2 linked regions of the Nothobranchius furzeri genome follow. The protein of the gene in region 1 interacts with the protein of each later gene in a pairwise test. Links are inferred from orthologs where the notes say so. Each region holds a gene or a part of one and is shown in the gene's direction. Other genes may lie near its edges.

Region 1 (3,292 bases):
AGGAAGAACACACACACGTACACAGGTGTACAAAAGCAGGGTGTAAGATGAGCCGGTGTGAATGCTCAGCTCTGTCATCCTCTAATTAACCCCCTCCCCGCTGGAAACCCGGTTAGCTGCGGTTAGCTTGTAGCGACGCCTCGGGACGCCAGCTGCTTTACATACAGTGGGGTTCTGGGACTTTGTGTTTGCAGAAACGTCCATTGTATTCAGTCCTGGGGGGTGGGGGGTGGTTGTGTACACAGGACATTGTGAGGTGTGCACCCCCTCCCCCTCCCCACACAGGTTCACAACCACCTCTCACCTGTCTCTCTACCTCCCCCTCTTCCCCCTTTCCCCCTTTTCCCAGAGCTGGCCAATCAGATCCAGTATAGCATCATCCAAGACTTACAGCAAGGAGAGACCTGGGAGAATGGTAAGAAGCCACTCTCTAGACTCCAGCTTGGAATGATTTATCAAAATGGTTGTATTTTTAAATAGTGTAAGCAAATTATCCCCCAATCGATCAAAAGTGACAAAAGGTTATCATTTAAGACCGTTAATGATACAAAAGGAGTTGTTAAACTCCGGGTGTCCCAGTTAACCTGGAGCGTTTAGCATCAGACGTTATGTGACCAAATAAACACGAGCCTTTATTTTCTTAACTGCTTCTTCCTTAATTATATGGTTATTATCTGTAAAATGCAAAGCGTCAATTTTTTTAGATGAATCAAAATAAGCAAAGAATTGAACGAGGATCTGTCTTTGATTCTCAAAGCTACCTGTTAGCGAGCTGCTGAGGCGAATCTTTGATTTAATCAGACATTTGGAAGAGTTCATAAATGGATTTTTTTTTGCTACTTTTAAAAAAAGTAAATCAATACTGTTCCATAAAAAGCAGAATTGATGCGTCTCTACTTTTCGTTACAATTGAATCAGTGGCTAAAAGTCCCTGCCCAGTGTAGAGAAAATGGATTAATTGGATTTAATCCTGCTTTTTAAACGTGTTTGCAGTGTTTTGTGAATTTAGCGGTAGGCTGGGTGGATGTAGTCGAGAAATAATGGAAATGATTCATACTCACTACCATTCCCCTTCTTTTTTATACTTTCATCGTGGTTTCTCTGCTCTGTCTGCGTAATAACAGACCATAAAGATCAGGTCATTTTCTGCTTAACGCTTAGAGCCTTAACTAACTGTTGCACCTCTACACGGCTGTGTTTAAAGCACACACACACACACACACACACACACACACACACACACACACACACACACACACACACACACACACACACACACACACACACACTCTTACACACACACACTCTTACACAGGTGACCTGCTTCTTATCAACCATCCCCCCCCCTTCCTCGCCCCTTGGCCGAGCCACCTTAACAACGCCTCTGTCTCAAACAAAGAGACGGCGCCCCGCTCTCTCACCGAGAAAACAAATAAAGATCTTATTTTTTTCCCTCAAAACTCACATTTGAACCCGCCTGTCTCCTTTCACACACCTTTTAGAGCGTAAATGAACAAAATCAGACGCAAATGCACCTATAGTCATACTGAAATAACGCATAAATGTGTTACTAAAGCTGTAATTCTAATAACCAGTAAAGAAAATATCCAAAACGAACTGTTATTAATGGTTATTAGTCGTAGTTTGTCATTTAAATCCTAGATTTGTGCTTCTGAATGAGAATATTTGCTGGCAAGCGTCATTGTTGGTTTCCACCATCTTTTCTGTGCAGTTATTGGTTGCTTAGCAACAGCCATAAAAGGACTTTGATGGTATTATGTGATTATTTTTTTTTTGGGCTCATCTCAGAGTTGGTGGTTTGTATTTGCACTAATGGCCACCGCATCCTAGCGCAGCCATTCGATGAACAGGATATTGGTTCCTAACACACACACACACACCCTCATCGGCTCATCTTCAAATGGAAATGTAACATTTACGACCGCTGTGATGTTTCATCTGGCCGTTACGACTGACTGGAACATCTCATTGATTTGAAGCTGAGATTAAATCCTCCGTCTCCGGCTGACCTCTCTCCCGTCTCTGTGTTTTCTCCTTCCTGCTCAGGTGAGGCCTCACACCTAGCTCTCAATAAGCTCAAGTGCCCCCACTGTAACTACATCGCCAAGCACCGGCGCACACTCAAGAGGCACCTGATCATCCACTCAGGTGTGCGCTCCTTCAGCTGTGACATCTGTGGCAAGCTGTTCACCCGCCGCGAGCACGTGAAGAGACATTCCCTGGTGAGCATGCACGCTAACCTCACTCCCTTCATTCCACACCTCCTCGTGTGTCTGGCAGCTCCGCTCAGAGGAGTGAGTGCACAGATGCAGTCTTCTGGGCTTTTATCAGGCTTTTTTTTTTTTCCATTAGGGAGTTTTGGTGGGTCACTCACAAACTGGTACAAAACTGTACTTTCTGTTCCAAAAGAGTGGGCTTCCTCTGGAAAACCTCTGAATTTGTAAAATAAATAAAAAGTTGTTGCAAAAAGTTGGATTGATCAGTTAGTTCCTTAGTGTCAGAGGTGGGAGACCAAAAAGGGGGATTTGTGAATCTCTTTTAGGTGTGATGGTGTTGTGATGGGGGGCGTGAAGCAGGATGGACCATCATGACCTTCACCTACGGTCACCAGATTTGGATATGACCTAGTGGAGATAACTCCAGCTTTCCACCAGAAGCGTAATCGTCCTATAACGTCCACGGGTTGTAGTACGTAGTTATGGCCGCCGTTAGTCGACGGGTGCGTTTCCACCGGCCATCAGACGTGTCTCACAAGTGGAGTGTTGCGTTGCTCTGCTTAATTTACTCTTTGGTTCTCATTTTTACAAGGTAGGCTTCTAGAACGAGACAAGCTCAGCCGTTCAGGTGGTTCCAGGAGAAAAAAAAAATCAAACACGAGGGCGGTGTGAAACACGTGGAAACTTTCAAAATAAAAGTCTTGTGTAGATTTCCAGTTGCTTAAAGGTGCGGAACACTGACTAATAATTTTTAATGATTATTTCTGATTCTAATGGGTCACTCTTTGTTTTTCATGTAGGCTGAACATGAAATAGTCTCCTACACCTATCTCCTGCATTAGCTTCTGATAGAAAACAGATGGTGAAACTCTAGGATTAGAACATCCTGATAGATCTACGTCACACTGTCACTAACATTCTTGGACTCACCCAGCTTTACTCACGACGAGAAAGGCTTTTGTTGGTTTAGCATCCAGGAAGCAGCAGAGAACATCTTGGCTAGTAGAAGCTACCCGTTAGCATGAGCAACGCCACCACACCGCAGAACTCCTCCA
Region 2 (4,391 bases), on another chromosome or scaffold:
GTCAGGATTCTAAAATGAACTCTAAAGTTAACAGGTAACCAGTGCAAGAGACAGTAAAATAGGAGTGATGTGAGCTCGTCCGTTTGCTCCAGTTAGGAGCCTCGCTGCAGAGTTCTGGACCAACTGAAAGCGGTTAAGGGCTTTTTTTGTTTAAACATGTAAAAAGGGATAAAGTGTCTAGCACTGGTAGGGAACTGTGTGAGCTTCCGGTTGCATCTAGAGGTAGGATATTTGGAAAATCTTTCTCAAGCCAAAGTTGCATTCTGATCCAGTTTGAAGGACTTTATGCTGCCCCGGCTGAGAGGTTACCTCTCTGAGCAAAAAGGCAGCATCGCACACAGGAAGCATCGATTTGGGAAGAAACGTCTTCTTTTGACCCGTAGTAGGTTAAGCTTTACAAAACACTGAATTTGAAAGCATCTGCTTACAAAAACTATCTCCCTTTATTTAAATACCCAAAGCAAGCGCCAAACTGAAGCCAGCCAGGGAGAACTCGCTTTGGGAAACTCCAACAAACAAGAAGAGTTACCACCTGCCACACCTGACTGGGGAGGAAGGGGGGTGTCAACCAGTTCAGGCAGTTTTGATCTCATTCTGTGTGCCTGCTGTAGAAACGGCTAACTGAAACCTGAAATGTTATGTCATCCTGCACTGATTTAGACTCAAACATGTGTGTGTGTGTGTGTGTTTGTGGGTGTGTGGGTGTGTGTGTGTGTGTGGGGGGGGGACACTCTAGAAAGAAAAGCTTGTAAAAGCTTGTTTCATATTGGCTTTCACTGTACACACACCCTCTACATTTCAGTGGCTCATTCATTCCTTGACAAAGGTGGATATCCAAGGAGCTGCCGGCTCGTGGTACAGAGGAACAAACGGTTTCAGTTAAAAGCTCCTTGTTTATAGATCCAAATGCTGATTCTGATGCATTCTCTATCCAAGGTTGAGCTGTAAATTCAGCAGTTTACATAAAGCTTTCATAAAGCAAAGAATTTAATAACGGCTTATTGAGACATTGCAGAAAATGCCCATACGGACCGTCAAACATCCAGAAATGCCTGTGGTATCTTTCGCTCTGGCAGTCCTACGTGTTGCTCAAGAGAGGGAGTTGTTTTCCCATGCAGGACTTTCACCAGAGGGTTGGGCCTGGAGCTGTGGGCTGGCTGCTCTGCTTACTAAAAAAGAAGAGAAGGAGAGGGGGGAAAGGGCAGAGTCGGGGTTTGGGAAGGCCCTTTTTTGTCTCTTCTCTTCCTTAAAATTATAGGTTCTCCACAAACACACCCACATGTGGTCACACACACACACACACACAGACAGCGAGGGCCAGCACACAAAGTCAGGATGTGACATCATCTACAGGAAGAGAAGCCAAACACTTCTTTCTTTTTCTATTCTTTTCTGTGTTGTGTGTGCCGCTGTGAGGTTGGAGCCCATCGGACTGCCAGTGGCTAGCATTGAAAGAAGATTTAGGACAAATAAAGGAGCAGAGCAGCTGGAGCTGACCTCCACATGGGAGTTTAATCCTTCCAGAACTTCCATAAACAACATTCCAAACTATCCATCGTAGGATCTCACAGAGGTACTGTAGAGGCAGTTTTTTCCTTTCTTGTTTTGTTTTTGTTGCAGCTGAATCTTGAACACGTGATCAGCTATTTTATTATTTCCTATTCTCACTTGAACTAACATTGGCAGATTTCACGAGGACCCGTGAAGCAAGCATGAAGGGTCTGTTATTCTGAGCACATGATTAGACATGCCTGAGCCTGGGGCGGTTGAGGCACGCTGACTTTTTGTCCTCTTGCTGTGACTTTTGCTGCCAATAAATTGTATTGATGCAAATTTTGAGTTTCACTAGAAACATGTCCCCCTGACTTTTCGGCAGAAACTCTAACTTTTCCTGATTTAGTAGCAGTTTTTTTAATTGGCACATTAAGAATGATCAAATGAATGAAATCGAGCACACAGTGAATTTTTACTGTAGTTTTCCTTCAATAGAACAGACGCAAAACACAAGCACTACACCTCTGGGGTGAGGATTCATCATTTAAGTTCACCACAAAATCTCAACCTCAGTGTTTAGTCCCTGATGTGTATAAAAATGCTAGAAAGGGGTTAGGGTAAACTTCTCATTAGAACCATGTAGTCTCAGATAAAACAACAGGAAATGGCCGGAACCGCCGTTCAAAACGGGAATCAGGACACAAACGCCAATATAGTTTCACATTGCAACCACAGTCTTGGAAGTGACTGTGTGTCAAACTTGGGCCAGCGGCATGTGTGTTCAAAAGACTGAACTGAAAAATGTGACTCAGTCCTGAAATAAACTCCTTAGGAAAAGTTCCTCACTGCAAAAACACAGTCTGAACTTTTGAGAGGTTTTTCTCTCTCGGTCGCTGTAGATTACCAAACAGATGGTTAATAGCTTCGGAAGAAAATCTGTAATTGCTTCAGTGGGTTTAGTTTCCATACACCAAAGAACGTTTTCCGTTAGCTGTCACATTCAGTGTGTTTACACGGAGTTAAAATCCTGCCACCACGCTGAATCTGAACGATGAGAATGTCTGTCTGTGCTCCCGAGAGTCGTTTGGTCTACTGACTCCCAGCGTGGCATTTGTTTTCTCAATCAGGCTTGACTCCCTGGGGCCCAGCTGTTGCTCCAGTTAAATTGTTGCTATTTTGGGTTGTGGATGAAACACTTAAAGCCCCTGATGAGGTCATGTTGGTCACTTAACTCTAATGAGACAGTAATGGTTATTCTTGTTTGTCCTGTTGTGGTTTCTTACAAAGATGTTTTTTGTGAAAGCTGATATTTAGAAAAAAACGAGTCTATAACAAAATATCCTAATAATGTATTGCATCAGTATGTTTTACTGGATTGAACCCTATCAATAACAATTTTGACAAAGATAATAGACCACCAGGTAAACGGTAAAGCCTAACATGTCTGTTTTTGCTCCTGACAGAAACATCTGGATTAAAGGACTCCCTGTCGTCTCTCCATAACCAACTCTGACCTCTTGTGACCTGATTTCGCCTGGACCCACTTTATCCAACTCAAAGCCAAACATTACTCTGGAGAGCCTTCACTCCCCTCATTCTAGGGGGAACGACCGAGTCAATGGCGCTGTGCCTCGGTCAAGTGTTCAGTAAAGCCAGAACGTTCAGGCCGAAGAAGCGGTTTGAGCCCGGCACACAGCGCTTTGAACTCTACAAGAAGGCTCAGGCCTCGCTCAAGTCGGGTTTGGACCTGAGGAAAGTGGTTCAGCTGCCAGAGGGAGAGAACCTCAACGACTGGATTGCAGTTCATGTGGTGGATTTCTTCAACAGGATCAACTTGATTTATGGCACAGTTAGTGAGTACTGCACCGAACGCACATGCCCCATTATGTCTGGAGGACTGAGGTACGAGTACAGATGGCAGGATGGAGAGGACTACAAGAAGCCCACCAAGCTCCCCGCTCTCAAGTACATGACTCTGCTGATGGACTGGATCGAGTCGCTCATTAATGACGAGGACATCTTCCCCACCAGAATAGGTGTGTGTAAAGAGTTTACAAATTATTAAGCAATCTTTGATGTTATTGACTAAAGAAAATATATAACGTGTTCTGCTTCAGAGAGGAAGAGCCAAGCTGCTCACCTTCACCAAGCTTTCAAATCCAATCACTGGGTTCAATAAAAGGTTAATTAGACAATGATGTTGACATTTAGATGAGCCTGGTTAATAGTGGCATTAATATTTGGTGCATGTCAGATTTTATAATTGATGTTAATGGGGAGGACAATTCTCTGCCTAAGGGGAGTGGAACACAGCAGTGTGTACTTGTGGCCCATTGTCTCATTGATTTTACATGGGTTTTATTGGCTTATTCCTTTAAACAAGGCGGAGACGTTGATCAGAAGAATTAAAAACTCTAAAATTCCAACTTTTCTAAATGATCGTCTATAAAGCAAGCATTGTTCATTTGGTATTTGATCTAATTATTTTCCATGAGGTTAGGCAAGAACAAGACCCAAAGCACTTATCTTAAATATGAAAGTTGGTTTTATGATGTTTGACATGCAGTTTTTATTACTGCACAATTACCTAGAAATACTTGATGCCGTTGCCATTTCTGTAGCACAAAGACAAAGATAACGAGACTGGCTTTCCCTCTAACAGGTCTTCTGGCAGAAGTTCCCTAACTCAATTCTTTACTTTTCCACTTTAGGCATACCTTTCCCCAAGAACTTCCAGCAGGTGGTCAAGAAAATCCTGAGTCGCCTCTTCAGGGTTTTCGTGCACGTTTACATCCATCACTTTGACAGCGTCTGCAGCATGGGTGCAGAGGCCCACATCAATACCTGCTACAAACACTACTACTACTTCATCACAGAGTTCAGTCTCATTGATAACT

Evidence for each region.
Region 2: the proteins of zbtb10 (region 1) and mob3c interact in binary tests that used the Homo sapiens proteins (3 or more experiments, as listed by UniProt). The link is inferred for Nothobranchius furzeri from reciprocal best matches to the Homo sapiens genes ZBTB10 and MOB3C.

Annotation. Positions count from the first base shown.
Region 1 is NC_091759.1:533,097-536,388, reverse strand, and holds part of zbtb10 (zinc finger and BTB domain-containing protein 10), read left to right. Parts: intron 1-349; coding exon 350-415; intron 416-2,067; coding exon 2,068-2,243; intron 2,244-3,292. UniProt on the Homo sapiens protein: May be involved in transcriptional regulation.
Region 2 is NC_091748.1:53,908,842-53,913,232, forward strand, and holds the start of mob3c (MOB kinase activator 3C), read left to right. Parts: upstream 1-1,416; 5' UTR 1,417-1,573; intron 1,574-2,957; 5' UTR 2,958-3,112; coding exon 3,113-3,530; intron 3,531-4,205; coding exon 4,206-4,391. UniProt on the Homo sapiens protein: May regulate the activity of kinases.